Linked DNA regions of Arabidopsis thaliana. The protein of the gene in region 2 interacts with the protein of the main gene of each other region in a pairwise test. Each region holds a gene or a part of one and is shown on either strand. Other genes may lie near its edges.

What was found.
Region 1: the proteins of TAF4 (region 2) and EER4 interact in a two-hybrid assay, tested with the Arabidopsis thaliana proteins (one study listed by BioGRID).

Annotation. Positions count from the first base shown.
Region 1 is NC_003070.9:5,982,425-5,990,630, forward strand, and holds EER4 (Transcription initiation factor TFIID subunit A), read right to left. Parts: upstream 5,511-8,206; 5' UTR 5,240-5,510; coding exon 4,451-5,239; intron 4,236-4,450; coding exon 4,023-4,235; intron 3,545-4,022; coding exon 2,930-3,544; intron 2,842-2,929; coding exon 2,767-2,841; intron 2,671-2,766; coding exon 2,592-2,670; intron 2,493-2,591; coding exon 2,431-2,492; intron 2,292-2,430; coding exon 2,256-2,291; intron 2,166-2,255; coding exon 1,983-2,165; 3' UTR 1,929-1,982; exon of another isoform or gene 1,830-1,928; 3' UTR 1,560-1,829; downstream 1-1,559. Other genes in the region: AT1G17430 (alpha/beta-Hydrolases superfamily protein), read left to right, coding at 1-611, 731-823, 1,129-1,196, 1,384-1,495; AT1G17450 (B-block binding subunit of TFIIIC), read right to left, coding at 6,155-6,340, 6,488-6,526, 6,619-7,083, 7,241-7,299, 7,395-8,145.
Region 2 is NC_003076.8:17,314,347-17,324,148, forward strand, and holds TAF4 (TBP-associated factor 4), read right to left. Parts: upstream 6,840-9,802; 5' UTR 6,799-6,839; coding exon 6,760-6,798; intron 6,660-6,759; coding exon 6,554-6,659; intron 5,784-6,553; coding exon 5,269-5,783; intron 5,184-5,268; coding exon 5,091-5,183; intron 4,222-5,090; coding exon 4,176-4,221; intron 4,037-4,175; coding exon 3,402-4,036; intron 3,153-3,401; coding exon 3,028-3,152; intron 2,863-3,027; coding exon 2,775-2,862; intron 2,689-2,774; coding exon 2,553-2,688; intron 2,461-2,552; coding exon 2,405-2,460; intron 2,324-2,404; coding exon 2,267-2,323; intron 2,190-2,266; coding exon 2,049-2,189; intron 1,970-2,048; coding exon 1,901-1,969; intron 1,819-1,900; coding exon 1,596-1,818; coding exon of another isoform or gene 1,528-1,595; exon of another isoform or gene 1,492-1,527; coding exon 1,262-1,491; 3' UTR 1,115-1,261; downstream 1-1,114. Other genes in the region: AT5G43120 (ARM-repeat/Tetratricopeptide repeat (TPR)-like protein), read left to right, coding at 75-157; AT5G43140 (Peroxisomal membrane 22 kDa (Mpv17/PMP22) family protein), read left to right, coding at 7,224-7,553, 8,233-8,461, 8,583-8,707, 8,798-8,878.

The DNA.
Region 1 (8,206 bases), on a different chromosome or scaffold from region 2:
ATTCGTTCTTATCTCTGTATTTCTTAGTTTTCTGCGATCTCCGACCCGTAACCGTCGATCTAGACGACGGAGAAACCACAGTCCATTTCTGGATCTCCGGCCACCGTAGAATCTCTCGGCAGAATCTCGTCATGCTCCATGGATACGGAGGAAACTCCAAATGGCAATTCGTTCATCAAGTCTCGGATCTCTCGAAATCGTTTAATCTCTTCATCCCCGATTTGGTCTTCTTCGGAAAATCGTATTCGAAGAATAGAGATCGGAGCGTTGAGATTCAGGCGAGGAGCGTCGTCGGAGGATTGAAGAAACTGGGATGCGTTGAAGGAGGAGGAGGAATATCGATTTATTCGATTAGTTACGGTGGATTTGTGGCGTATAAAATGGCGGAGATTTGGCCGGCGATGGTTGAGAAATTGGTGATTGTGAGTAGTGGAGTGGGATTTACACAGCAGCAGAAGACGGCAGAATTGAAAAAACACGGCGGAGATTGTTCGAAGATTTTAGTTCCGAAAACTCCGATGGATCTACGGTTGCTGATTAAGATATCTATGAATACTGGTTTAACGTTCGTCGATTGGGTTCCAGACTTTTTCCTTTCCCAATTCATCGCTGTAAGTTTGTTCTGTTTCTGTTTTATCTGTTTATTTCCGAATCTGGTCCCGTAAATTGTTTGTTCGTTAGTCATGATCCTAAAGGTTTGGAATTTGCAAAATTCATCCTCTTCTTATAGGTAATGTATGAGAAAAATCGGCAGGAGCTTCTTGAGCTAGCTAAGAATTTGTTGGAACGAGAGGAGGAACCAGAATTGCCTGTAATATCCCAGGTAGTATAAAATTTCGTTGAGTTAACCTTTTTTTAATTCCTGATCACTAATGGTTTAACTCTAAGCATCAAGATATATATTAATAAGTTGGCGTGATGATTAATGTGTCGCTGATAGAGAACTAATTGATGTTTTGGATTGTTTTTATGGGTTTTAAGTATTCATCTTTTGGATAGTGGAAACACTATTCTCGTTTGTTTGCTTTCACTTTTATATTATTTCTAGAGGGATGCTATGGATTGAGATGCTTTATTCGAATCTACGAATAAAATATGACTCTGATTAATTTGATATATATGATGCAGAAAACGTTAATCGTTTGGGGAGACAAGGACAAGGTGTTTCCCTTGGAGCATGCTTATCGGCTGCAAAGGTAAATACTACATTGATATTTTATGGTAATAAGTCCCATAACAAGTGTTGTCATAATAACTACATCCGTATAAAATATTTAATATTTCTACTAGGTCAAAAGAGATGAAACATCGAACGTGAACGCATGTGATTATTGATCGTGAATCCAATATGTCGAAACTAATAAAAATTATATACTTTTGCAGGCATTTACAGAGTTCAAGATTAGAGATAATAAAGGAAACAGGACACGCTGTTAACATTGAAGCACCAACTACTCTTAATAATTTTATTACTTCGTTTGTCTTAAGTGCTTGATTTCTATTTTTGTATATACTTCTTCTTCATATAAATATCTATATGCATTTGATTTAAGTGTATATATAGTTGACATCATTTAACATATCATCAACTGCTGAGTCATCAAAGAGCTAAAACTTTCAAGCTTAAAATGGAGAGGACAACTAAAATTACAAAAGGAAAAAACAAAAACCCACTAAAAAAGAAGACGAAATAGTTAGAAAGTCCCACAACTACGAAAAAAATAACTGTATTATTTGATTGCCTATAAGACTCATGAATTTTATATATAATACATACAGTTTCACTACTTGTGCCTTCAACTCTCCATAGATGTGTAAACTCCTGCAACCTATAATAGGAAAAGTTGAGGACTATATATAGCCAGCCATAAATACCCGAGGTTTTCTTATTTATGTAAGTGGTGTTTGTGTATGATAAAAGTGTTTACCAAGAAGATGAACATAGCAGTGAGAGCTGGCTCAGGCTTCTATATTCAAGTCCTTTAGTATCGTGTCATGTGTTGTAATATGTGAGGACCGGATGTCTGCGAAACCAATTGTTCTGAACTTTGGGAGGGTCTTAAGAGATGATTCGGACCATTTGGGTTCACCATCGCTTGTCTCATAGTTTCCTTGGAATTGCTTGCATTCGTCTCTGGTTTTGAGGATTCTAGTAATGCACGCACCTGGCGACACAACACAAAAAAGAAACTTCAGAGAGAGGTCCATAAGCACGACTGTACACAAAGAGATGTTTGGAATATCATTCAGCTTACCATTGCAAGTCGCTTCTTGTGGAGATCAGTTGGTACCTGCAAGTTGTTAACTTGGGATCAATATCTAGCAAACTCATGTTCTTTCTCTTTTTCTTTTATTGGACATTCAGGTGGTGATGCACATTCACATATACTTTTTGTGCTTTTAAAGAGTTTTAAAAAGAAAATCACTTACAGTTTTTGTTTGACGTTTATCCTCACTTGAGAATCCAGGAATTGTCAAGTGCAAGTTTTTCTCTGCAAAAAATTATAACTCAGCAAACAGTAAAATGAGTAACAATAGCAACTACTTAGAATTCACATTGAACAGAGCTCATCACCAAATTAAGTACAGACCTAGGTGGAGTAATATATCCTTGGGCTCCAATACAGATGATTTACGATGCTTAGCCAAGCTACATGCAAAAGATGTGACCTGCAATGAAGTTTAGGTAAGATAGAGATAGGTTTTCACAAATCTGTAAATAAAAAAGCTGAAGTTAATACTAAATAATTGATATTAGCTTCTAACCGAATCAATGAAGTCATCTGCCACCTCCAAAAGGAGGTCTTCAACATCAGGATCCAGTTTCGCATGTACATCCACCTGAACATCATGATACAATAGAATGAAACATATTTCTAAAGGAAGAAGAAGATAGAAACAAGCTATAGAGTTGAAGAGGGAAAATCACCTGCGAAACCAGATCCTGTATCTTCCTTTTACCAAGGAGTTGGTTTGTTGCTTCTGTTCCCTGGCTTGAGCTACCACCTGGTGTTGTTGTACCCGATTGTGTAGCCTCTGGTTGTGAACCCGTTAAACTGACAGATTTTTGTCCTGCATGACTCAACATCCTTGGAGATGGCTGTTGTTGATTAATCTGCATTTGCTGTTGTTGTTGCTGCTGCTGCTGCATCTGCTGTTGTGGTTGCTGCTGTAGTTGCTGCTGCATCTGTTGTAGTTGTTGTTGGGAATGGGATTGGTTCATCTGCGACTGGCCTAATTGTGATTGTTGCTGCTGCTGTTGTATTATCTGTGATATCTGCTGCTGATTCAAGGACATAGAAGATTGATGTAACTGAGGAGAGGACAGTTGTTGTTGTTGCTGCTGCTGCTGCTGTAAGAGAAGAGCCTGTCTTTGACTCGGTTGGAGTCGGAATGAATTGGGGCTCGTTATTCCCGACATTTGCTTCAGCCATTGCTGCTGTGACAAAGAGTTTTGCATCATGCCAGCTTGTCCATTCTGGGCCAAACCCGATAGCTGAGGATTCATAAATGCGAGAGAAGATGTTCTCTGGAGGTTCTGGACCTACACAGGGGATTACAAAAAGTTACCAAGTGAAGAGGATACAGGATACATGAGATTCGACGCAACTCTATTTTTTAACTTGAAACGAAAGAAACACATGCTCACAAAATGATCAGGAATTTGCATATTGCACAACATAAATGTATTAGTACCTCTATAGATACATAGGCCAGATTTTACAATTACACGGTAAATCTGTCAAATTTAAGGATCATTCCCGCGTCATTCAGGTATTTTAGTTGCCAATTACAGATATTGGAAAAACTCTGCAAGTCAATATTAAGTGATTGATTAAAGTACCAAAACCTCATGGATCAGTTTAATTAAGACTGTGCAACAATAAGTCAAAAGAAGTGAAAGGATCCAACACGAGAATTCATTTGTATCTATGAGCCATAAGATATAACAAGTAGTCAATAAAAAAGTTCACAATGTGAGAGAAAGAAGTTCGTAAGATACGACTTTTTAAAACTCATACCTGAGGTGAAGTAAGAGCGTTTTGCTGTGACAATTGCTGTCTCATCTGCCCCGGGTTGATTCTCTGCTGCGCATAGAGAGCAGGGTTACCTCTCATTTGCGAGGTCAAATTCAGTGATCCCATCATTCCCATAGCTTGCATCCCTTGTAACTGTTGTCCAGAACTTCCCGGATGAAACTGCGAACCTTGAACCATGCCAGATTTCTGCCTCGGCTACAACGGAAAAGCTCATTTGTCTCAGAATAAAGAAAATGATTTGTTGTTCACACAATAATAGAAGAAACTGCAGAGTTTACTATATTCATATCAACAAAAACAATTGCAACACTATCTCCATCTAAAGCAATACTACAAGTTGAGACTCCATCCACAAAAAGAAAGATATGAATCAACAAAGGGAAAGAGAGTAAAAGTAAAGAATGGGGTACCGAAGCAGCCAATAATTGGGGTTGAATATTCATCTGAGCAGCTCCAGCAGCACCGTTAAGCATAGGCAAGTGACCGCTTTGGCCAACTAAACCTGCTCTGGACATATTAGGGTTAACCATCTGCTGATTCTGCTGGCTCTGTTGAACTGAACCTGAGCCACCAAAGTTCATGGTTCCGTACAAACCAGCTTGCTGTCTCAACACGTTGCCGTATTGACCTTGATGCTGCTGCTGCTGTTGTTGCTGAATTTGGCTCAGGCGAGAAAGAGAAGGGGATCGCTGAAGAGATTGAGCAATTTGGTAACTCGACATTGGGATTTGCTGTGAAGTCATGTGTTGTTGCTGCAGAATCTGTTGCTGTTGCGGCGATAATTGTGGAATCGGAGATGAAGAGATTTGCTGCATAATCTGTTGTTGTTGTTGAGGCAATTGCTGAGTTTGTTGAACGAGTTGCTGAGTCTGTGTTTGCTGATCTAAAGATGAAGAAGGGTGAGAGAGAGGAGAAGGCGACGGGATCTGAGCTCCGATTGGTGGGTTAGAAGAAGTAGGGTTGGGAGAGGAGATGTTAGGTTGCGAATTGTTCTGAATTACAATACCTTCGGTGGTAGTTACAGTCATCGCCGGAGACGCAGCGGAATTAACAGAATTGGAAATCGGAGCTGTCATGAGTTGTTGTTGTTGAGATGATGATGAAGGTAAAGGAGTAGAAGATGCAGGAGAAGGTTCCATAGGATTAGGAGATTGTAGAGATTTCGGTGACAGAGACGATGAGGGAATCGGTTCCGCCATTAGAAGAAACCCAGCTGTGAAGAAGAAGAAGAAGAAGAAGAAGAAGAAGGTGTATTATTTGGTTGAGAGGGGTTTTGTCGATTTTCTCTCATGAAATCGTGTTTTATTTTTTTCCCAGAAGTTTATTGACCGATAAAATATGGTCTTCTATTTTTTTTGTTTTGTTTGTTGAATCAGTTCTGGGGAAAAAAGAATCTGAGCCGTACACGTCAGTAGATTTAGCGGAAGATGATCGAAAAGATACTTGTACTGAACTGTGTTTCATTATTCCAGACTCTCGCACAACTGCTCTAACACTTTTTGTAGGATTATCTCATAGACCAATGCAATCAATATTTTACATTTTTTTCTCTTCACCATTTATTACATCAAATACGTCAACAAAAAGTCAAACTGTTTCGTTACTCAGGTGATGAAACTAGTGTGCACTATTTTCACGTTTTTGGTGTTTCAGAATTATGTTTTTAAATTTATTCAGCACAATGTTTTTTCTGCCTCTTGATTCTGTATGATTCAAACCTTTATTGATTAACTAAGTAAACTACACTAACTAGATGGAAACAACATCCTGTTGATCATTTAATTCATTCTTATTTGGAGATTTTTCCGTCTACAAATTAAATAGAAATCTTTATTTAGTTATAACTTGTAACTTGTAGGAGACCTTTTAGTTGAATAAAAAATAAGCTCTCTTTTTAACTGAATAAAACCTTCCAAAACTCACCTATAATAGGGATATGAATCCAACACTATGAATCTATAAAGAGAATTAATCATCACACCTACAGCTATACAAATACAAGATCTTGTGGACTTTAAATCACAAAACTATAATAATTTCCCACATAAACATTAATAATTTATTGCATCGAGTTTTGGACTGAACTAGAGAGACTGAGAGAGATTTTACAGACATTACAAGGCAAAGAGTCCCTTGGAGTTTGCAAACAAGTGTTTGCGGCGAATAAGTTCCGGTTTTCTAGGACCTGTTGAGACGAGACCGGCTAACAGAGACGGAGGACCGGTGAATTTGGTTTGCACCATTTCCCTCACTTTCATATAGCCGTCGAGTGTCATCAACTCCAGAAGCTTTCTACAGCTCTGATATTGAAATTTTTTTACAGAATGTTATCAGAGAGCAACCACCGTATATAGAGACAACAGACAAAGAGCTTTAAGAAGTTTTGATCAGTTTCAGTAAATGAAACCATAGGAGAAGAGGTTTTTAGGGTTTATGATTGTTATTACCTGAGGATTTAGTATGTCCATTAGGTTTATTATCTCGTCCTGCCACAAATGAATGTTTCGATTAGTATTTTCATAGAGTTCGAAACCATGATGGCAAAAACTTATTGGGTGGAAAATGGAGAAGTATTTACCTCTGGTATACCGGGATTTTGCATCACGGTACCAAGAACACGGCGAACTAGTCCATCAAAGACAATTTTATTTATTGACCCATCTGCGTTTACCCATGGATATATAGGCACAGGTGACTTTTCAGAAGTTGATTCCTTTGTTTCACCTTCAATACCCGTTCCAAAAGTAACAGATGGAGCTTTGATAGATGCTTCATGCAAACCGCTCGTTTGAGCCGTTTCAGGAAGGTTAAGAATTGTAACCTTGTGAACGCTATTCCCAGCGACATGCTCTCGCATGTCCTGTGAAGTACTGTAGCTGCTAGCAATGATATCTTTGGACCTATGTTCCCCAACAGCTCTCTCTAGGTAGTTCACTGGTAGAGACTGTTGACTTTTTTGGGAAGTTCCATCTTCCTCCAATGTCAAGAAGTACTTTGATCGGTAGAAGGAATGGACAACACGGAAATTATTATAGCCATTTACCTGAATAAGATATTGTATGGTTAACAAGTTGCTTGTAAAACGATGTAACATGAACTGAGTTCACAATCCAGGTAAGTAAAACTAGTAAACCAAGCACTGCAACTTTCATCTTAATAAAGGCAACAGGGTTTGTAAAATAAGAGATAATCAGACAAACCTTCAAAGCTACCCCAAATGTTTGAAGTACATCTACAATGCAGTCACAAGTTTCTTGGCCTGATGAATACACAAAGGTTAAATAAAAACACTGAAGGAAGTCGCCAGCACATGCAAAAATAAAAGCCTGTTAAAAAGGTTTGCCTGATGCTTACTTGGGATATCAATAAGACTGTGGACTTCTTCAATGCTCAGACCTTGGTCACCAGCCTTCTGAAGGGCATTGGAAACGGTTTCAAAAACCCTGGGACTGAATAAACTAACTTCCTCATCTGTTGATTCGGACATAATGCTACTAGTAAAACTGGCCATCGCTTGCCAGGGAGAATCACCTAGACTGCTTGGTATGACAGTAGAATCTGTAGAGTTGAAAAGTTCTTTCATGTCATCAGAATCACAGCCACTATTCGCTTCTCCCCACTTCAAATGAAATTCACCAGTGCGAGAGTCATCATCCTTAAACAACTCTATTGCATTAGCTGTTGGTATAGTTGCACGACGAACAGATACTGCTATACCAGGGAAACCCTTTTCCTTTCGGAAGTTGATTTCACCTTCGCCTAGTAGCTTCAATTTCTTAGAACTCTCAGCTTCAGATTCTTCTATGTCATCAGCTCTACGTTTCAAACCTCTTCGATCTCCAGGCTCTCCAACACCTTCTTCAGGCAAGGATACAGATATAGAGAGTTCACCAGAAGAAACCAATGAAAAGAAATTTAAAATATCACCACATTGCAAATCCGAAGTAAGAGTGACACCCCCAGCCATAAGGTCTCTTTCATGTTCGAAAAGCCAACTGGAGAACTTGGCTGCTCTTGTCCCAGTATTAACTGGGAATGGAGACTTTGAAATACTGTGCAAGAAGTTTTGAGAAAGCACAAATGGCTGTCCACCACTTCCACCAACCTGGAACGTTCCCATAATTCAATGACTTTTCAGTTTTCTTTGACAAATACAATCATTAAGT
Region 2 (9,802 bases):
ATGTATGAATATAAGTTCTTGAATCTTTTCTAGATAAAACAATTTCATATTACATTGTTTATCTCTCTGGCAAGGTTTGTCGACGATCACAGAAGAACCCGAGAAGAAGAAGGAAGGATTGATGATGCAAAGGAAGAATCTTGATCCCTTGGAGTGATCAATATCTATGAAGCGATTTTAATTATTCTATCTCATTAGTTTTTTCTTTTCGTTTTCTATTAGAATGTTTGGTACTTTTGTGATGGATTAGTATCGATTTGTCAAAGAGTTTAAGTGTTGTACTAATCACTATGTACTAGTACTACTAGAATTCTTATTTATATCGTTCTTTAGTTTATAAAATGGTTGCATTAAGATTGTATTTACTCATCCACATATTTACTAAAAACAAACCCTAGTAATTTAAAGACAATTTTCTCCAATGTTGTTCTTTTTTTTTATATTCTTTACGACTTCATCTACCAAAATCATAACCATAAGCATAGTATTATTATTATTTTCTTAATTGTTTTCCATCTAATATTAGTATGAAACTTTTCCTTATTGAGTTTTCTTCTAGTCTATCCTTAGAATTTGAAGTGTATTGTCTATATATAGATAAGATCGAATCCTTAAATATTATGAAAAAGTTACACGATGAAACACTAAAAACATAATTGAAATTCGTGTTTTCAGTATATTTATGGGTTCTTAGTAGTTACAACGTTGTTTTCTTGGCATTGAATAGAGTGAAAACGAGTATTTTATGCGAAGTAGTAAATGGGATAGAGGTGCGAGTCACAGAAGGTGGGGAGGACCACAAAACCACAATTAAGTTCCGCGTGATCTTTACTCATTCTTTTACTTGAATAATATGGTTTAGTGTAGACAAATTTCTCGAGTTTGCGTGTATTATTTGGACTAAACACAATATTTTTATCATCTATTTACAAGAAATATCAATAAGAGTAATGAAGTTATAGCAACCATATTAATAATTTGTGATTATTTATTTGATGGGTCCAGTCGCTAACTAGACGGTGTGATACATACTGTATATGATTTAACAAAGAGTACTTTTGTCTTTCAATTTTGCATTGGATGCAAAGTATTGAGATATGAGTCACTAGAAGATGTGTTGTAAATTGACGTTTGAGTTGAAATGGCCATGAAAAAACAATGAACATAACAGAAACAAATCACAATGGTATAAAAATAAATGACTTGGGGCCTTGACGATTAAATTATCATCAGAAGCTTATAAATATAATGATTCTTCTTTCTATTGAATTAATCGATACATCAGAGTGGATTTGGACATCTGTGGCTCTCTTTCGAGGACCGCAACCACATCCTTCACAGAGATTGTCCTCACCACTTTCGGTTGAAGCGACGAACCTTGGTTTTTCCCTACTCTTCGACCACCTGCAAACAAGAATCCAAAGCTCATCATCGCAAACCAAAACCGTGAGGAACTAACTCGATAGACAATCCCCACACCACAGCTAGATTCTTAGCATTTCCTAACACTAGCAGCATTTCATGCTTTCAAGGAGGGTTTATCGGTTTGTTCATCGGCTTTGCTAGGGGAAACAAGTTAAAAAGGATGGACTCACCAGTACCAGAAAACCGTCGTCCACCATCTTGTCTATCTTTGGAGTTCTTTCCTCCACCTGAAGTAGTTTTCTGATTCCCATCTTTACCAGCTTCAGATACAGATTTCTGACGAGCTTCAGCCATTAATTGCCATTTTAAGAACGCATCATCTCCTCCGACAGCAGCACGAGCAGCAACATTTGCAGCTGTCGTTCTCATTTTGTCGTCATCCTCTTTATTTCCCTTCACATGTCGAAACCACTTTTGTAAGAACACTGCAACGGTATTATTAATTTCCACAAATGTATTATTAATTTCTCCATACCTTCACACCCTTTGAACGATTATCTTCTTTATCCTTCTCACTGTCAACTCCACCATCACCTTCTTCACTCTGCAGCAAAAAGATGAAATTTGCAATGTCTGTGTGTTGTAGTAAACATAAGAACATAGATAATGAGCTCAGAACAGACCTCACTCGGTTTCTTAAGCTTTTCTGCTTCAGCCTGTTTCTTCTCCCATTCTTCCTTCACCTTCTGATTCATTTCGTTGATTTGTAGCCGAATATCTGATGTGATAAAAGTCCGGTGCCTAGATTTCTCAGCATCAACCCGCTGAAGAAGCATTTTTAGCTTCAGACAGAATTTATCAAACAATGTTGAACCAGGTAGTAAGAGAAAGTTAGACTGACCTGCTTTGACAACCGAATTATATGGGATAATAGTCCTCGCATCCTTTCCTCCACACACTGAAAGCAAATACATGAGAAAAGGGGAAAAAGAAGCTCAAGTATTGTATGCAAACAATGCACACGAAGTTGACATCTCACCAAAGATAAGCACCGTTCGACATCATTGCTTATCTGCTTTAACCCGGCTTTAGCCACTGCCAGATAAGAAAAGCATATGTAAGCTTCGTCTCCAAGTGATTCAATAACTAGAAATTAAAATAGAAGAAGATATGGGAAGTATCCCAACTAATTTCCGCCAGCTTTCTTTGCAGAGGATTCTTCTGCAAGATTAATCTTTCTTCTTCTTCGTGCACAACTCTCCGAGATGCTTCGGAAACACGACCATCTTCCTTGGCCCCAGAAAATAATTGTTCTTCCTCTTCCTAAATCAAATGCAGACAAAAAATGATTTACTTCAGTAATCTACATCCAGATTAAAATTGAAAACTGAAGCTACCAGGAAACGCACCCTGAGATTAACACCACTGACTGCAGTGACATCATTGAGCTGTTCAATACTTTGATCCATAGAATTCCCTGCTACTTTTTGCTTCTTGCTGCAAGTTGATCCATGCAAAACGATTATGATTTTATATTACTTGGGGACTCGAAAAGAAAAGTGGTTTACACTTAAAAATCCATACATCAGAAGTCTATTATTAACGAAGAAAGAGTGACTTAAAAAACTGTTCCCTGTTTCTAAGCCTGAGCAGATCAATTACCTTGGTGGTGGAGGTGAAGAACCTAATGTCTCAAGAGGTTTTTTCTGACCAACAGAAGGCTTTTTGGGTGGCATCCTAGCATTAGCTCCTCCTTGAGAGGTTCCCAATGGGCCACGAGAATTCATCTGATGGATACACAAACAATGTTAATGATGTCCAATTGAAACTTTTCCTATTTACTGTTTATAGTAGAAATTATAAAACCCAAAACAAGGAAAAACAATAGATGTCCAGGTTGTCGGACATAACACGGAAAATATGCAAGGGCTTTTGAAGCGCCATAGTTGCCCCAGCAGCTCAAAGAGAAGAGGCAAACAAGAACAGTGGAGACTGACTTTTATAATGAGAAAACTATATATTAATAGATCTCTTACAGTTGTGCTGGCGTCTAGTTGAGTTGTCATGGAAGGAGAAACAGAGCTTGCAGGCGCCATGTTGTTAGGCGTGGATAAAACCATTCTAGAGGACTCCTTCTCTAAGTCCTCATTCGAAGTCATTGAGGCTGCATTATTCTTTTCAAAACTTTGATCAACTGATTCCTGCTTTACGTGGGACACTGATGATCCTTGACCAGGTGCAGAATTTAGAGGCAATGATGAGCTGTTCTGGAAGTGCGATGTAGCGCCACCCTGAACCCTACTCGGATCATTTACAGAACTTGGCCTCTCAAACTTGGGCATAGTCATCATGTTTGTGGTAGACTGGGGCGGTCCTCCAAGACCAGTTGATCCCATAGGCTGGTTATGTGCCACATGTCTCATATGGGAATCATGAAGGTGAGGTCTCAACGTGGAACCAGAAGCATTGGTGTTTGGACCCGGGAATGAATGAAAACTACCAGAAGTGGTATACATAGGAAAAGAACTTGGTGGATGCTGCATCTGGTGCTGCGGATGTTTGGTAAGTCCCTGTACCGGAACTGAACTGCCTAAGGTGCCTGAAGCTGAGGACGGTAGTTGGTTAAGATGGACTGCACGAGGATCAGACTGAGATTTTTGATTATTGATTTCTGCGAATGAATAGATTTAATCAGGTAAGATATTGGCTCCTGCATGGAAGTAATAAGATATATCTATGGAGAGTATAGAAGCTTTTATGATAATGGTGAAAGAAAAATAAAAAAGAATGCATTAGTGAATAATTTATACCAGTAGAAGGAGCTTGAATTCCAATTTTTCCCTGGTTATAGTTCACCTGAAAACAATGAGCACAAATTACAAATAAATAAGAATCTATACCCAATTTCAAATGCTTCAACGGTTAGCACAATTTTAGTTGGAATTAAGAACCCAGTTCAAAAAGCAAAACCTTCATTAAAATAGTAGAAAACAGAACAAAGAGAATAACTTTGGTTCCCTCGGACAAAGATAAAGAGCTTCAACCTTATATATAGGAAAAGATAACTCCCAAACGAAAAAGGGAAAGAAAATAGAAATTCTAATTAGAATTGGACTAAACTTTTCGTATCTTATTATAATTATAATGGGAAATAAGATTAAATCGTATCAGTTGGTGTACTTGAACTAGTCCTACTCTGCAGACATTGACCACAAACGCTGGACGTATAAATTTAGCACCGTTTTAACATGTAAATGTGGGACAAACGCAAGTCAGTAAACTCATATGATTAGATCATCCCAGGCATAAGTCTGATAACCTTTGGAAAGGAATAATAATCTGCTAAGATTGGTATTCTGTAAGAAAGTAAATCTCGACTTTTTGGTAGTGATCAAAATAGAGGAAAATAAAGAGTTTTTCCCTAATTCAATATGTTGTATCTAATTTATGAAGCTAAAATATATATTCTAAACATCATTTGACTTATCAACAGTTCTACTTCATGTCAGACCATTCTATGTGCATTCAAGCTAATAAAAAACAATAGTCTTTTGATCCAGCTAAATTCAAAGAGCAAATGTAAAAAAAGAGTAAAAATGTAAAGCACTAGCAAGCAGAACTTTTAGACAAACAATTCCAACATGATTCCACTTACAAACTAATACCCTAGGTTGGTTGTCTGGTTTTAGTCACAACATGGCACAATATATGCAAAATGGTAATACCTGCTGGAGTTTACTAACTGCCATCCTGAGCATCTGATCGCCCACAATATCTTTCATATGTCGTGTGAACCCCTCTTTGGGGATTTCATTTTTCTGCAAAAAAAAGTAGCAGAAGGAAAGAAATGATAATACAATAGCTTTGGAACAGAATGTCAAATGATTTCACAGATAGACATACCTTAAGTCTAGCATATAGGGTACGGAGCTGCAGTGCTCTATCTTTATCGAGTTGGTTCATTAAAGTAGGAAGCAAAGCAGCAAATGGTACTTGCTTAGGGTTGCGGTTTATAGGGTTAACATTCATAGGGTTAACAGGCGGTTCCACTCCCCGAGCCTGTTGACTACTCATCTTTTGCAGTTTCATATACTGAGATTCACTCTCTTGATTATGGGATCTATCTGATTCATTACCAGTAGGATTCTTTTCACTAATCGGTAACCCAGTTGATTGGGGGACCTGCGAGGGATTCTCCCAGAGTTGACCAGCTCGATGAAGGTCTTGAGGCTGGTTGTGTTGTAAATGAGGTTCATTTGCGCGTTTCAAATCATGTTGATGTTGATTTTCTAAAGTCGATCCTTCTTGCTCCTTCATCTGAGTACTTTCAAGGCTATGCTGAGTCTGGACATTGATATTAGAATCTCCAATACCATTCTTCCATGTCGAAAACTGCTGCCTGGAAGAATGGTTGTTTCCTATAAAAATAATAGAAGCAATTGGTTGATGATACTCAAATCACAAGTTAAACTGGAGGAAAAATCATATAATACCCAAAAAAGGACAAAAGACAGGATTTTGTTGTAGCAGATTATGCACACAAAATGCATACTCAGTAGCTCTCATACACCTATCCACAAATCACAACCTATTTGTATTTCAATATTTAATGGTGTAGTCAGAGGAAAGAGATCACTTCCAGCACCAGAGACAGAAAATAATGATTTAAGGAGACACGTAATCATCGTCAAGATTGCAGTGAACCAAGAACAAAGCCTAACACTAAAATAGTATCAGCATCACCAACCTATGTCTACCCTGGCTAATAAATCCCATCACACTGATCAATTTTAATGACTCAACAATCAACTAGTACAGGCTATATTGGCAATGACAAAGCTTATCCCGATATTAACATACAGAAACCCTAACAAACTAATATTTCATGACCTTAACTATTGCTTTAATACAGGACTGAAACTTCCAAACATGTCACTAGATTAGCAAGGTTTACAATATAGCCTAACCAAGGCATCTTCTTAAGTTATCCATGTTCCAAGAGTAATAACCTATCTGAGAAAACTGTATATATTAAAAACAAGCACAACTTTGCTAACATGTCAAAGCTTCCCAAAGCAGCCAATCCAAGATAAAACCAAAAGATACTATCTTTATATTAACTAATAGTACCACAAAAATTAAAATCTCAGACATAAAATTTAAGAGCGAATTTGTAGAGAAACCAAACCTGGGTTTGTCACGTGGGGTATTGAAGTTGTCATAGAACCTTCAATATCACGATTCAGAGCAGCTTGGAACGCGTCTACGTCAGCTCCTGAATGCATCGATTCATCCTAAAATAATACAATTCGACCGGAATCAAAAACCACGAAGACGATTCCAGATACATCACACAAAATTGGATTTTGAAACGAGTGAGATTAGAAACCTAACCTCATCTTCTTCAAGGAGCTTGAAAATTGAAGGATCCATTGAAATAGCTGGGGAAGGCAAAGAGAGAAAGAGAGCTCTCGGCGTAGATGAATTAATAGGAAACAGATGTTATAAGATTAGTCCTAAACTAACCTCATGTCGTTTATTAGCTTTGTTTTAGCACTGTATGTCGTTTTTAATTTTGATCGAAAAAAAACGATACCGTTTGTTATGGATGAGTAACCTCATGTTGTTTATTGGTGTTCTTTTAAAAACTGCATGACGTTTAATGGAATACGAAAAACGCTGTCGTTTGCTTTATTGCGTGGAGAGATATATCAAACTTTATGTCGTTTATTGGTTTTGGTTAAGCACTGTTTGTTGTTTGCGTGTATTGAGACTAAAAGTTCTGGTACAGAGAGAGAGATACATCAAAAGTACAGTGTAAGCTGCCGCCATTAACGAAGCATCGGCGAAAAAAGAAGATGAATATCGTTGGATTGAGCAAACGTTTCTTCTCCGATCGTCGCTCTCTTCACGGGATCAACAATGCTCTCTTGAAAACAGTGTTCACCGGTCGGAAACCGATTCTCGGATTCTCCGGCCGATCGATTCACGAGCTACGCAAAACTGGGAATTTCGTAATCCCTCGTGTTTTCTCCGTGTCGCGAAATCTAACGACGAAGGCTTCGTCTTCTTCTTCGAAACAACCTGCGTTTCTACGATGGTATTTGAGAAAGCTCGAATCACATCCTTTTATGACTAAGAGTATCACTACTTCTGTCATCTATATGGCTGCAGATCTCACTTCTCAGGTTTTTTTTTGAATCTTTGTAGTTTTTGGAATTTAGGGTTCTTTCTCATTTCATTACTAATTAGAGAATTTTGTTAAAGTTTTGAATTTTATCTCTTGATTTAGGAAGAAAAGACTAATCTTCATTTGTTATTATACCAAGACAATTCCAAATTTGATTTGAAACTAGATCATAATCTTACTAGTGGAAGAAGTTATAATACTTTAGTAAAGAATAGGTGGAGATAGCACTAAAAGTTGGTGTTTTTTAATGAATTGTTATTCTCATATTTTTGGTTTAGTCTGTGTTCTCAACTGTTGTTCTTTGATGTGTGAGACTGTACTTACAGTGTTTACTGAATCTGTATATTGTACTCTTGTGAATTTGAAGTCTTTCTGTACTGAATAATGGATGAATTTAGTATTGGTTTGATTACTCAGAAAACTCACACTCCAATCCGAATAGTCTAATCTTCTTGTTATTATCTCTTGTGAATACTTATTGCTAAGGTGAAAAAAGCTTTAGGTGTGTGTGTTGGGGTTCTTGTAAACTCTGTTTTTCTTCTTGTCATTAGTGGATTTCTCTTTTGAGTCTTTTTATGATCATGTTGTGGTGCTCTTCCCCCAGTAATATGTTAGAGCGAAACTAGAGAACCTTTTGTTTTGTTTTATTTGTGTTGACTCTCTAAATTCTTCAACAGATGATCACAATGGAGCCAACTGGTTCTTTTGACTTGATAAGAACAGCGAGAATGGCGAGCTTTGGGTTGATATTTCTCGGGCCGTCTCAGCATCTGTGGTTCAGTTATCTTTCGAAGATATTGCCAAAGCGCGACGTGTTGACAACCTTTAAGAAAATAATGATGGGGCAGGTTCTTTTCGGACCTGTTAGCAACACAGTCTTCTATTCCTACAATGCTGCTTTACAAGGTACATAACATAATCAAACCTCTATGGATTGAACGGATTTAGCTTTTTACGGTTTCTCTGCCTGTAAATTTATGGTGCTCATTATGAGATTGGTTCTGGCACGTTGTTGGTCCTTTTTAAGGCGAAAATTCTGAGGAAATTGTGGCGAGATTGAAGAGAGATCTTCTGCCAACATTGAAAAATGGACTTATGTATTGGCCGGTCTGTGATTTTGTTACATTCAAGTATGTGCCAGTTCATCTACAGGTAAACCAAATATCTATCTTATTACTTTCTCTATTGTTTGGGATGTTTGAAGACACTTCTTAACTTCAACTTGTAATCTTCTGGTTGCAGCCACTGATGAATAGCTCGTGCGCATATATATGGACAATCTATTTGACATATATGGCAAACCAGACGAAAGCTGACAGCTGAACAATGACAAGTATGAGTGTTCTGGGTCACACGCAATCGCATTCTTTTTATTCAATTGAACCAACCATCAGTACTAGTAGATTTTTTTTGTTTTTTTGGTGTCTACAATGCAGCAAAAGTATCGCATAGATATGGACATAAACATGTATGAATTTTGATCATCTAAGCATATATTTATCAGGAAGTCTCAAAGTTCCATCGCGTTTTACTGCGAAAACTTGCTTCACCATCTTCTTTTACTTTTTGTTACTTTCTTGTAACATTTTGACTAAAAAAATAATTTGGTTTATTTTTGTTTATTTAAATTAATGCCAAAAATAAATTAGGGTAGGTAAAACTAGTATGAGGTTAACCACATAATTCACAAATGAAACCAAACTTAGGCCACGTTTTAGGTCATATTGCCTCCTTGAATCATATAACATCATTCTTCCATTGTCACATTGTGGCCAAAATAAAACACTATTTATCGTCCTAAGTATATATAATTGCCCTTACACTTTTGTCCTACTATACTTTTAAGAAAATAACAATTGGCACGAGATATTTGCCGTCAGAAAAAAAAATGATACTGTTTGGTCTTCCGTATTTTCTTCCACAAAAAATGAATAAAAACCCAATTTGATTTCATGAAAGCCATCAGGAAATCTACACGTGGAGGCAACTAGGAGCTACCGACAATTTAATAGTGTTCGTCGTATACAACGGCACTCGACATTTGGGACCCATACTGAATCTTATCATACGTGGCTCAAATCTAATTGGTATGACGTCAGCATGCCGAAAGGGAGAAGACGCAGCTAAGTGATTTTCCTTTATTATCCTCCTTCACAAATCGAAAGTCGAAAACTCTTTTTTTTTTTGTTTTGTTACCATTATAATTGAACCGAACCAATTTAAATTGAACCAATTTTTTTTGTTTTT